Linked DNA regions of Caenorhabditis elegans. The protein of the gene in region 1 interacts with the protein of each later gene in a biochemical or structural test. Each region holds a gene or a part of one and is shown on either strand. Other genes may lie near its edges.

Region 1 (4,969 bases):
AATTGCCGTTGATTGCACATAATTTCTAATATTGAGAATGTTGTGATCTAAACTGTAGTTCTGACTATTTTCTATTTGAACATAGTCTTTAGCTAGCTGATATACTTGGAAAAACCTGAAAATTAAATAATAATAGTCTTGTATTCAAAAACTAACAAAATGTCCAAAAAGTTATATCATGTTCTTCGTATTAGTAATTAATAAAATGTTTTTATTTCATCAAACTGGGAACAAAAATCAAGTCAAGATTATAGGGAGCTTTTAAGTGACTACGTAAGAAACCATTTGAAGTGAAAAATGAAGGCGAGTCCAGAATAAATCTGACGGGAGAAAGTGTTGATGCTTTCAAATTATTGATCTTTCGAGGGATCTGGCAAAAATTTAGTTGCGCGCCAGATTAAAATCAAAAATTAAGCTATAGTGGTTTTTTCAAGTATAATGTTGATTTTGTGTTTTTTTTCCTGGTTTCGAAAGCACTTTGGCAATTTTCCAAGAAGTTTGAATGATTAAGAAAAATCTAAAATTGTTGATCAACTTTATCATAAGTATTTCAGTCAACACAGATTTTTTTCCAGAAATTTTGAGAGTTATCTTTGATTCCGGAAATGACGGTCTTTTCCTCACTGCTTTTATATTGCCATTTTTTGTACGAGCCACTGTTGCTTTGATTATCTTTCGATTAATTCTGATTCAGGTTTACTTTTTTGATAATTCAAATTTTCAGAGCTACCTGGCGTTAAATGTCACCCTTTTTCCCTTTTTTCAAGAGAAAATTAGTTTTGTTTGTTTCAAGAAACGTTATTGACAATAAATCTTAGGAGTTATCTTAATCTAAAAACTGGGAAAAAAGTAAAACGAATTCAGTCTACAGAATTGAAGTACAGTAAATGATTTTTTTCATCAGCTAGAACATTTTAGAAGCCCTTTTAGATTTCAGGTTAAGCTATCTCCCAAGCATGTAGCCGCAACTGAGATTCTGCAGTTGTTCTAGAAGATTTTCACATCCCCCATACGGCTATTATTTGTCTGAAATTACCGTTTCAAATTTCAGCGGCCTGATCAAGCCTGATTAGATTCATATAATTGTAAAACAAACTGCAATACTTTAACTTGAAAAAATCAGTAACCCGATGGCAGCACCATTTTTCACAAACTGAAACACGAGGACGCCGGCCCGATTTGTGGGGGGGGGGGGGGGGGGGGGTTTGAGAAAAATCATCGAATCGCAGCTAGTGCTCTTTTGCCGAGGGACAAGGAAGAGAGAAAGAGAGGAGATACGCCCGTTGGCTTTACACAGGTTTTGTGTTGAGATCGTCAAGAAGACGGGAGGTAGTCGGGAGGGGGGGGGCGAGAGTGCAGTGATCAGAGAGGCGCAGTCGTTCCCGGCTCTCTGAGCACGCACACTTTTCTCCTCTATTCACGGGAAGACCTCTCAACATTCACCCCACTCTTTTATCTTTTGTATTCGGATTTTTGTTTTTTTTTGTTGGTGCTTTAATTAATTTATTTTTCGATTTTGTTAACTTTTTTATTTTGCTCTGCTAAGTATGTTTAATTTCTCTAAATCTTCAAAACTTACATGTATATATTTGAAAACATGCATCAAATTCTAATTGAAAAAGCCTCCAACCAACTATTGCGAAATACTTTTGTTTTTTATATTGTGGGCCAAAAACACTGATACCCCTATAAAAACATTACCTGTATCCCGAAAAAAACTTGAAACTCTCGCGCGACATTGACATTCCAATCAAAAAGGCGGTGAGCAAATCCCCTGAGCACCACTCAATTTCTCAAACAGAAAAGTTTCTGTCTCATACATTCTTGCCAACTTTTTCATCTTTTTCTACTCATCCCTGAGCTGTTACTTTCCAGAAGACTTGGATAATGAGTGAAACTGAAGATGTGAATCTCAACCTGGATCCGGAGAAACCCAAAGTTCGATCAGTTGTGAGATCAGACAGCGGATTGGAAAATGAGATTCCTGTAAGAAGAGAAGGGTGGTGTGAAAAACGAGAAATATATATATATATGTATATGCTTTGAAAGTTTTGAGTTTTTTGAGAGTTTAGGCAGCATTTTACATTTTATCGGTTTGCACCCAGTCCGTACATTTTTCGAAAAGCTTTAGCCTATTTTTGAAGATAGTTGAAAATTTTGAAATTGTTTCTCTTCAGTTGGGATTTTTGAATGTCAAATACTTTGATTTAAAGTCTAAGGGAATACAAAAAAGTATGAACTGGAAAATAGTTTTTCAAAAGTCAATACCTCCCTTTCATATGAACTGAGAATCTTTGATCACATTTTACAAGAGCATAATATAGAATGTAGTGTATGTCTAGACAATTTTTCTGTGATGCCGAAAAAAATATAGAGGATTAAAATAGACAAAAAATGTAGACTATGATCACAAAACGCTCATCTTATTAAATATACTCAATGTTTCTTAAAACAAACAAGTAGTTTGGGATCTGGATAGATTAGGATATCAATTGATTAATTCGCAGTACGAGATTTAAAAAAAACTGTTTATGCAGTTTTGTAAAAAAAAAAGACTAATAACGTCAACAAAAATTATATTGGATGCAACTCTCAAAAATTAATTTGAAATTGGTAAATCTTCACGCTTTAGTTTATGACAGAATTAGAAATTCTAGTAATTGCATAAATCCGAATACTCTCCATTTTCCAGAAAATTTCCGGAACCTCATCAGCATTAATAGAAGAGGGGTTATCTCTGCTCAACCTCAAATCTTCTTTGAGCCCAAATGTTGCTCCAGTTGCCGTAGATTTGTTGGATAGAACGTGCCCAAGTCCAGATTACGGGCTGACGTCAGAGAGGTTAGTGAACTTTTTTCTTTCAAGTAGTGAGCTCCCATTATATTTCAAAAGTTTACGATACCGTGTATAAAAGATATTTTGATTGTTTTTTCCTCCACGGGTTTAAGCTTCGGCTGAGGCTTTCACTCATCAATTTGGTTTTATTAATGCATATTTATCTTGAAAAATGGTTTTAGCTACTTTTATCTATTGCTTGAAGTGAATTTCATCTGCGTGTGAATTTTCAACTACTTTTAAATAAATTTTCGCTGAATTATGGTTCTGCAACCTATAATACTATGTTAGCAAATGTAACTCAAAAAGTACCTAACAAGAACAAAAACAAGATTGTAAGAGTTATCAAAAATGACCGAGAGCAAGATTTCTGCCAGATGTGTAACTGAGTGAGATATGTGTACGGCGGAAACAACACATTACACAATGACCCGCAGAGTTTGATTAGATTTGTTAATGTTTTGGTTTTGAACGCGGTGAAAAAGAGATCAACTAGGACTTGTCAAAATCCAAAGTAATCATATTTTAAATGTTTATTTTTTTATCAAAAGAACAAATCGGTGTAATTTGACACCTTTAGCAAGAATTATCACTGAAATCGTGACGAGAGCTAAAAAAACTAGATGCGTCTTCAGGCTACAGTAGCAAATTGTTGACAGTGAAAATTATAAGTATTGTTTTTTGATTCCTAGTTTATTCTTTTTTTTTAAATTTTAACCTTTATAAAAATATTAAAGATTTCCACTTCTCAGTTACCTCAACTGTGATTTTTGCCGTGAAGCAAAGATGATTGAAAAATACCGTTAGAATCTTGTATTTTTGACCAACTTTTCTACGCAGTGGTAACACCATAATGATGATCGTAACTATCGCAATAAAAATGTTCCCACTTCTACCATAATCATTAGTCCTTCTTTTCACATGTTTTTGAACATGTTAGCAGTGTTGACTTTAAATTAATTTTTCTCCGGGCTGTCATGTACCTACTGGATACAGGGAGGATATGTCTGAAAACTTAATTTGGACTATTCCAAGAACACTATAAGTGACTGTAACTGCTAAATACAATTTATTGAACTTCCACAGCTTGATATTACTGATAGTAAAACATTTACTCATGACAATTATATTAGGTGTTCAAGGACTAATTATAGAGCTTGTAAAATTTGAAAAAAATCGGTTGCCAAATTGGGAATTTTTAAAAATTTTCTTGTATGTAGTGTTTCAGTCTGTGACATTTTTTTAGAGAAAATTCTATTATAATTTGTGTATATCAATGGAAAATTTTGGAAGTAGATGTTTATTGGTTTCATTCACAACGGAACAAGATGATTTTTTCTCGTAAATGGCATGACTCGGAATAAACTTTCTAGTGTTAAAAATGATAGAAAAAATCTTAGATTTTTTAGAAAAATGCAATTCTAACCAATTGTTATGAACGCACGTGCATTCATTCGAAAAAAATAACGTGGGAGGCTCCAAAGTCTAAAAGACCGCTGATAAATTTAACTGTAAACTGCTGAAATATACAAAAAAAAAAGTGAAAACAAGCAAATTATTAAGGTAACCTTTCTAATAGTTTTTAAAGAAATCGTTAAGCTCATAGAAATGTATTTCTATAATTGCGCCTCATCATGTATGTATTACTTTTCAATGTTTGATAGAGTCATTAATAATTTGAAAAATATTGTTTTTCCCCAAATGTTTGAAATAATGTACAAAATAATGTTTTCATGTGATGCTTTAAACACATAGTTGGTTTTAAGTAAAAAAACAAGCCTAAGAAAATTAGTTTAAGTTAAACAATCACATGCGAAACTTAAAAAAACTGCTCGTTTCAGAAATTTAAAAATGAAAAACTCAGAAGCAGAACTGTTTTTTTCGCTTCTTATCTGCGCTATTCCAGCATTCACGTGGTGTCAGAGTATCTCATTTTGGTTTGATCTACATAGATCTACAAAAAAATGCGGGAGTTGAGACGCAAGGTTCTCAACTGATTTCGCATGGTAAAGAATGTGCTGACGTCACATTTTTTGGGCGAAAAAATTTTCGCATTTTTGTAGATCAAACCGTGAAAGAACATCCTGACACCACGTGAACATTTAAAAAGCCTTTGTTTTTGCGTGACAATTGT
Region 2 (8,165 bases), on another chromosome or scaffold:
TCAAAGTCATTTCGATGGTTTTATTTATATCCGTGGCGGCGCAAACTTGTCATCAAAAAGTTAAAGCATGCGGTGGGAGGCGAGAGACACTCTTGACGCGTTTTTTTGTTTTACTGTGAGCAGATCTCTTGAGTCTCTTGGAGACTTTTTTTGCTAGCTTCACTAACTATTACAAGACATTTTAGAGCATAGTTTTCTTTCTAACCAGTGGAGAGTTTTATCTAGAGTCTTTAGAGCCAGTACCATTAATAAATTTCATCAATTGTATAGAGCCACATTTTTAGAAACTGTATCATTTTTAGATCAACCGTCGTACTTACTATCTTACGGCAGCCGTTTAGTTACATTTCAATCGAATTCAATTCGAATTCCCTCAAGCCTGTGTACATCTCAATCTCTTCCTCCCGCTCATTCTTGATTCAAAAACAAAAACTTTGCCTCCATTTCTTCCCGCTCTTTTCTATGTGTCGTTTATGTGTCTGTCTCTGTATCTCTTTAACTTTCACACTATTTCCTTTTATCGTCTATCTCTTCTCTTTTTTGAAGAAACTCCTAAAGATTAAGGGCCAAGATCATGAAGAATTCCCATGTTCCATTTTCTAGTTTTTCCTTAAATCAAATAATATTCTGGTAAAATAATAGTTTCAAGAAGTTTCAAGAACTTCCAAACAACTTTCACAATATACCGTAGAAATTCATAAAAGTTTTGACATTTCTCATTTTTCATGCATGATTGGCATGTTCCTTTAGTACTCGATCCGGTTTCACAACACCGTTTAAAATGTGATCTATTCAAACGGAATATGTGATTTCAATGTATCTCTTGTCATAGGGAGACTTCTGCTACTTGGCCGAGAAAAGGGATACCTCGGTCATCGCTTTCTTTGGCGGTCATGTTGCTAATAATTTATTTAGATTTTCCAAAAATTTTTTTTTTCGAAAAAGAGAGATTGGATTACTAGATTGGATTACTGATTTGACTTTCAAGGTTTTTTTAAATATTTCCTCGTTATCGATCCCTTTTCCAAGTACCAATTATTTCCAGCAACCTGGATTATTTTCTAATTAAATTTCAATTCAATTAGCAAAAACATGTACTAGGAATATGTGTAATTGAAAAAACTCTTAACGAACTGAATTGCATAAAACCATTCCTATATGTTGCTAAAATGTCCTAATATCATAGAAAACGGTTCAAATGTTTTTTTAAAATAGTGTAGTCAAAAAGTGGCTAGTTCTCACCTTCTTAATTTTGGAATTCTACAAAAAAGTTTTTTTTTCACAATTTTAAATTTGAACCAAAATTATCTTAACACTTTTTCACAATTAAACTAAGTTTTCCTATTGATCAAGCTTTAACTAATATCAAAATGATCATTCCTATTCTGAGAAGCAAATTAATCAAATTAAAATATATGGAAAGTAGACATATCTACATTAAAAAATTTTTTATGGGAAAATAGACACTTCTAATTTAAATTTTTTTAATGAAAAGTAGACACTTCTACTTTAAAAATTTGAGAGGTGAAGTGTCTACTTACTATTAGACATCCTTTTCAATATTTTAAAAACTTAGGCTACTGGATTATTTTCTGAGGATTCCTCATCAAACTGTAATTTTTATAAATAAAAATTTGTATTTTTGTTATCCAGATGCTATTCTTTTTTCAATGTTTTGTACTTCTTTTATGTCATCTCCATAAATCTTTTTTCCTTCTCCTCCTCTTTCTTTCTTCCTTTTTTCTTTTTTTTTGTCGGCTTCTTCATCGTTTTTTGTCTTCTTCCTCCCACTTTTTTCCACTCACTCACACATATTTTGACACATTCTCTCACATTTTTAGTGGTCCCCATACACATGCATACACACTCATCTATTATTGCACTTTTCCTTCTTTTATACACCCTCATTGGTACCGTTTTTTACTATTTTGAACATCTTGTTGTAAATTCGATCAATTGATAATTTGTTGATTTTCCGAAACTTGACTAAGCCGTCGGGTTGCATTCTGAGGTTCTGAAATAACTGAATTTTGGACTTTTTATAAAATCCAATTACATTATAACTTCTAATAAAGCTCTTTCGTCCGCCTTTTAATTGTTTTTTTCTTGATTTTCTCCTGAACATTTTTTGAATATTTCAGTAAGAATGCCAAGCGACGATCGTTTTGCGGATGCGGTTAAACCAGCTTTAGGTACCCAAGAACTTTCTAATGGAGGCTTTCCGGTGGAGAAATGCTCCCAGTAGTAGTCGTAGTACTAGTTTGGAAATTATGAGTTTTTTGATTAATGGGAAACTTATTAATATTTGGATGGAATTATCATAATTTTGAAAATTTATATGATTTTCATACTTGATAGTTTTCAATAATAAAATTCTTAAAAAGTGGGTTTTCACTTTTCAATTTGAAACATTGAAGAGTTCAAATTCTGTAATTGAAACAAAAAATAAATAAATATATTATTTTAATTTCAGAAGCCCTTCTATCGGATCTTCAACACACCACAGAAGTGCTCCGCCGTGCTCATATAAGTGATCGCCGCTCACAGAGTCGTGATGATTTTGAGCAATCCTATGATCTTCAGGGAAATCTTAACACACAGAGGTTAGTTTTTTTTTAATGTTACAAACCTTTCCATACATGTTTTAACATAAACTAAACATCTAATATTTGTGTCAGTGTGAGCAATGGAAATATAACCACTTCACCCTACAAACGTCGTTCGTCAGAAGGAAAAGATTATTCAAAAAGTCAGGAAAGGATTTATGGTTTGTTTTTCATGTAAAGAACATTAATATGTAATTGTATCTGTAGAAAATGAATCAAGACTTAACCCACCAGTCTATTCACGTCCAAGTGTCCAAAGTCTATTGTCTCAAGTCGAAGAACCACCAATTCGAGCAAGCAGGTAGGAGAAAACGTTTTTTGTTTTTTTGAAAACATTTTTATCTTCGGAGTCATATTTTGAAATTCGTGGCCTAGAAAAACCTTTTAAAAAGCTATACTATGAGTCAATTTAAATATTAATTTCAAATCTTCTGATTTAATAATTTCAAGAATCTTGCGATTAGGATTCTTAAAAGGAAAAATTTAAAAAATTTTGATTGGCACTTTCAAAAAAATCTGTAAAACATTAACATCTTACATCTGAGAATGCGAAAATATAAATCAATGGCCTAGAACACACAAAAAATGTTAGACCAACAATTCAGAATTTAGAATTCTATTAGGCATTTTAATTCGAAAATTCATAATTTTTTGTAGCCTAGAAAGTTCACTTAAGGCCTCGACATTTTTATAAGATTTGTTGAAAATTGTTAATTTTTATATCAACATTTTTTGTGCATCTTCAAAAAAATTGAAAACTTATGTATATCACGAAAATTGGTTCAGATATATATTTTTTTAATTTCTAAAAGCTTTCCAGACAACAAAAGAAAAATGGCCTTTAAGTTCCAAAAATAGCTCCGAAAATAAAAATGTTGAAAATATAAAACTAGAAAATTCCGATTTGAAATGGTCAAGCCCGTTTATCAAAATGCCAACTCCGTGTTCCATTTTCCCGCCGGCTCTTAGGTCATTTCCCGTGTTTCTGCGTCTAAAATCCCGGGAACAAACAAAAACTCAAATGTGAAGGGAAGAACGAGAAAAAAGACTAATAACATACACGCATATTACTTCTACTCGTCTCATCCCGTGTCGCAAATCATCTCTTCTTCCCCGGTACAGAGGAGGAGCCGGTTATTTTATTTTTCACTGAGTTTCTTCGTCTTGCTCAGTATCTCTTGAGCTCAACAGGGGTAAAATGCTGTAGGGCGGGAGAGTACCTACTCTCTATCAAGTGAGAAAGAAAAATATAGAGAAAAGGAGCAGCACACCTTTTTCTTTTCCACGCACACAACACTTTTACCTATCACTTGGCGGAATGATGCGCGAGTTGCAACAACGGCTTGACCATTTCAATGGTCCAAATTATGCACAAAATAGTCATTCAAACCACCAACAACATCATTCGGTTTATAGCTCACGCAAGAGTCTCGGACCACCAAGTCAGGCACAATCCTACTCTGATGTCGTAAGTTTTTATTTCTTTTCGGGGGGAGCTTCTGGGAAGGGAAACTGAAATGTTTTCGTTGGGAGACCTTAATTAAAAATGTCCTTAAATTAGAATTTTCAAAATCCCAGAATCTTCATTAAACTTTCCCAATCTCTACAAATCTAATTCCGGATATTTCTGTGTTCACAAATTTTAAAACCTAATTTACTGATCCTGAACGATATGTATTCAACTTAGACGCAAACTTTATGAATTTGTAGTTTTTCCTATTTTGGTCACATGACTACAAAGTAGAAAATTCGGTCATTCTTTTAAAATAAAGGTTTCTTGAAATTTTTGGGACTTTTTGAAATAAAAATAATTTCAAAATGTTTTTTGAAATATTCAATTTACTGTCAAAAATTGGCAATTACTCGGGTTTTGCCACTGGTAATTCAAGAAATCCACCAGAATATTATTTAATTTTTGTTCAATTGTTCTAAGTTGACCATTTCTTGACAAAACTTTCAAAAATCTCAAGAAAAAATGTAGAGTGTTTAAATATGGTATTAGGTCATGATGGACTATTACTAGTATGGTTTATCAAAATCCACAATTCTTTCACTTAAACGTCATTGCTCCAATTTGAAAGATCATAAAAGATTTGGCAACATTTCACAACATAGTCTCCTCATTTAATTTGAATACATTGCTCATCTTGCTTGTTTTGTAGGATTCCATTAATCCCAAATGCAAGCGTATCCCCATAAAATTCAGATGCTCCACTACTTCCTCTGCTTCTTCTTTTCCCTTATTTTCATGTTCTGAGAGCAACTATTTGTCTCCCTCGTTTTCGTCACATTTTTCAAAAACTTTTCAGTTTCATATTTTACAACATAGTAAAAGGAGAGGAAGCAACAAAAAAAAAACGAAAAGTGGAGCGAAATTTCTGTTTGTAAAACCTTCTTTTATTGCCGCGTGGCTCTTTCTTTTACGTGGAAACACGTGCTAGAGAGTATGTGAGAAGAAGAGACACAGACGAGCTCCACGAGCAAACAGTACGGGGGGCTTCTAGAGGTTGAAGCGGGGGTGTAAATGAAGGTGAAACGATGGGAATAGAGAAAGGGAGATATTGTTAGCTTTTCCTTGGTTTTTGATGAGAAACCTTTTGGAATGAGGTCATATGGAACGATTTTTAGTGTATTTTGATGACTATTTGGGAAGGGGATCTAAATTTCGAAATTACAAAGTTCGGGTTTACAGAGGATAAATAAAAACATAGGGAAAATACTTCCATACCCCGCTATCAAAAACAGAATGACCTCGCTAAAAATACGCCGCGGCAATTTTACTAATTTTTCACAGAAAGTTTCCAAAAGCATTCTAGAAATGGATTTGTATACTTTTGTGTGGTCTAAAAGATCATTACGTAAATTAGAAAATAAAAATTACCCCGTTTTTTTGGCATATTGCACCTTTTCTGTTGCCACTTACCAATGTTCAGTCATTTTTCATTTTATTAGTTTTTCAGCTTACTTTCCGACAAAAACCTTTTTCCATTAACTATAAGTAAATATGCCAATTCCAACAAAACATACACACACAAACATAAATTTGTCATAATGGTCTCGCAACGAATGAAAACACACATTTCCAATCGTTGCCCATATACATAAAAACGTGGAACTTATAGAGATCGAACGGTCGGTCTCCATCAAGAGACCCACTGCATTCGGATTCAATGATTGGAACAATGAATGGAGAATTGAGCTCAAAACATGGAGTCAATACAATTCCAAAAGGAGATTGTGCTGCCTGTGGAAAACCGATTATTGGACAGGTGAGCGTTTTAATAAAACAATTCTAGAATATGTGAAAAGTTCTAGGATTTATTAATTTCGCTGTGTATTACTGTTTGGCATCCTGAAATTTAATTCTGATTAACTGTGACGTAGGACAGTTCAAAATAATGTTCTCGCGGTATTTAGTTAAACTACGAGACTCTAGAAATTTCCTCAGAATAGTTTTAAAAAGAATTATTAAATTTCAACTTTGGAATGTCCAGAAAATCAAATTTGAAAAATAAAACCATTTTTCAGGTCGTCATTGCTCTTGGCAAAATGTGGCATCCGGAGCATTACACTTGCTGTGAATGCGGTGCCGAACTTGGACAACGCCCATTCTTTGAGAGAAATGGACGTGCTTTTTGTGAAGAAGATTATCACAATCAATTCAGTCCAAAGTGCCAAGGATGTCATCGAGCCATCACTGATGTAAGTGACGTTACAAAATTCTTAGTCATAAATATTTGGTACAATTGGATAATAGTGAATACAGAATATTGTGCATGATTTGTAGTATTTCCAGTTTTGAATGTACAACGAAAAACGCCGATTAGTGGAGTTTTGCAAAAATTAATGTGGACACAAGTTTAATAGTGTTTTTTTTTGTTAATCATCTTGAATATATTTTCATGAAATAAAAATGATTAGAGAAACAAAATTTAAGTTTCCAGAGATGTGTGAGTGTAATGAACAAGAACTTCCACATTGAATGCTTCACGTGTGCAGAATGCAATCAACCATTCGGAGAGGATGGATTCCATGAGAAGGTTGGTTAAAAAAATCCGTTTGAAAAGCCTTTCAGTTTACACTTTCAGAATGGACAAACCTATTGCAAACGTGACTTCTTCCGTCTATTCGCCCCAAAATGCAATGGCTGCTCTCAACCAATCACCTCAAACTTTATCACCGCTTTGGGAACTCATTGGCATCCGGATTGTTTTGTCTGTCAGGTATTTTTAGTTCATTATCATTTGTTAAACAAGGAAGTCAATTCAAAAATTAAAGAAACCATCGAAAACCGATTGTGCGGTATGTTTCTTGTCGGTGTCTCTCTATTCGTCTATTCGTTTCGTTTTTTTTTTCTTACCCCTTTTTATTTTTAATGAGTGGAGCAAATTGGCTTGTGTGAAGTGCCAGAAAATATTATAATGAGAGGCTTTTCGTTGATAGTATGCTGCAGTGATAGAGTTTTGTGGTTTTTTTAATAGTAACATTTGAAGTTAAAAAAATAAAACTATATAAAACTAACTATAAGTGTTAGGTTTATATATTTTTAATTTTGAGCCAACTGACTGAGTTCACATGGGACCTATAAAATGTGCAAATTTACAAGTTTGATTGAACCTTCCAAAACTTCATATTAATAAAAACCTTGACCCCTAATATATTTTATAATACCATTAAAAAAGATGTTTCGGTTTTTCGGTTTATTGTATCTTTCCTTACCTAGTCGATATAGACATAATTAAGCATGAAATATTTTAGAATTATTCCTTTAGCTGTAGTCAATAGTTTTATTTTTGGAATAAAATATTATTTTTATTTTGGTGTGTCATCTGTAAACTTCCCTAAATATATGTGGATTGTTCTTTACAGCATTGCGGAGTTTCTTTCAATGGTGCAAGTTTCTTTGAGCACAACGGTGCTCCACTCTGTGAGCGACATTATCATGAATCTCGTGGTTCAATCTGTTCTCAATGTCGTGGAGCCATTAATGGAAGATGTGTAGCTGCAATGGGAAGAAAGTTCCATCCGGAACATTTTAGATGCTCATATTGTAATCATCAACTGACAAAAGGAACATTCAAAGAAGTTGATCGTCGGCCATTCTGTCATAAGTGTTATAATAATACGTATGCATTGACTCCTGCCTAATCTTTTTTTTTCTCTTTTTTGTCTCTCCTGTCTTTTTGTGGTTTTTCAAGTTTTTTGAAGGTGGTAACTGGAAAAGATAATTCAGTAATAGTTTAGAATATTAGGCTTGGATGAAATCGAATATAATATTTTTCTCTTTGAGATTTTCTAGTTCTCTAATGCCATACTTTTCAAAAATTTAAGTGTCAGCTAGCCTAAATCCATAGACTTCAGCTTGACATACAGGATTAAGCCTAAGCCTAAACCTATACCTTAACTTAAATTCCAGTCTACTCAATTCAAAAACCTTCCACCTTACCACACGTCCATTGTATAAAATATGAAAAAAAAAAGTAAATCAATTTTCAAAAAAAAACCAAAATTTTTATTAAAATTTCTACGCATTTCAAAATCAAAATTTCCTCCCCACCG

Evidence for each region.
Region 2: the proteins of unc-96 (region 1) and pxl-1 form a complex in vitro, tested with the Caenorhabditis elegans proteins (one study listed by BioGRID).

The regions. Positions count from the first base shown.
Region 1 is NC_003284.9:618,197-623,165, reverse strand, and holds the start of unc-96 (CRE-UNC-96 protein), read left to right. Parts: upstream 1-1,875; 5' UTR 1,876-1,887; coding exon 1,888-1,986; intron 1,987-2,692; coding exon 2,693-2,841; intron 2,842-4,969.
Region 2 is NC_003281.10:5,889,988-5,898,152, reverse strand, and holds pxl-1 (Paxillin homolog 1), read left to right. Parts: upstream 1-2,141; 5' UTR 2,142-2,146; coding exon 2,147-2,192; intron 2,193-2,473; coding exon 2,474-2,603; intron 2,604-2,678; coding exon 2,679-2,767; intron 2,768-2,813; coding exon 2,814-2,907; intron 2,908-3,866; exon of another isoform or gene 3,867-3,924; coding exon of another isoform or gene 3,925-4,022; coding exon 4,023-4,074; intron 4,075-5,728; coding exon 5,729-5,875; intron 5,876-6,134; coding exon 6,135-6,308; intron 6,309-6,550; coding exon 6,551-6,646; intron 6,647-6,694; coding exon 6,695-6,829; intron 6,830-7,475; coding exon 7,476-7,754; 3' UTR 7,755-7,880; downstream 7,881-8,165. UniProt on the Caenorhabditis elegans protein: Required for myofilament organization of the pharyngeal sarcomeres and for pharyngeal muscle contractions and hence for pharyngeal pumping. Together with lin-8, might be required for myofilament organization in the body wall muscles.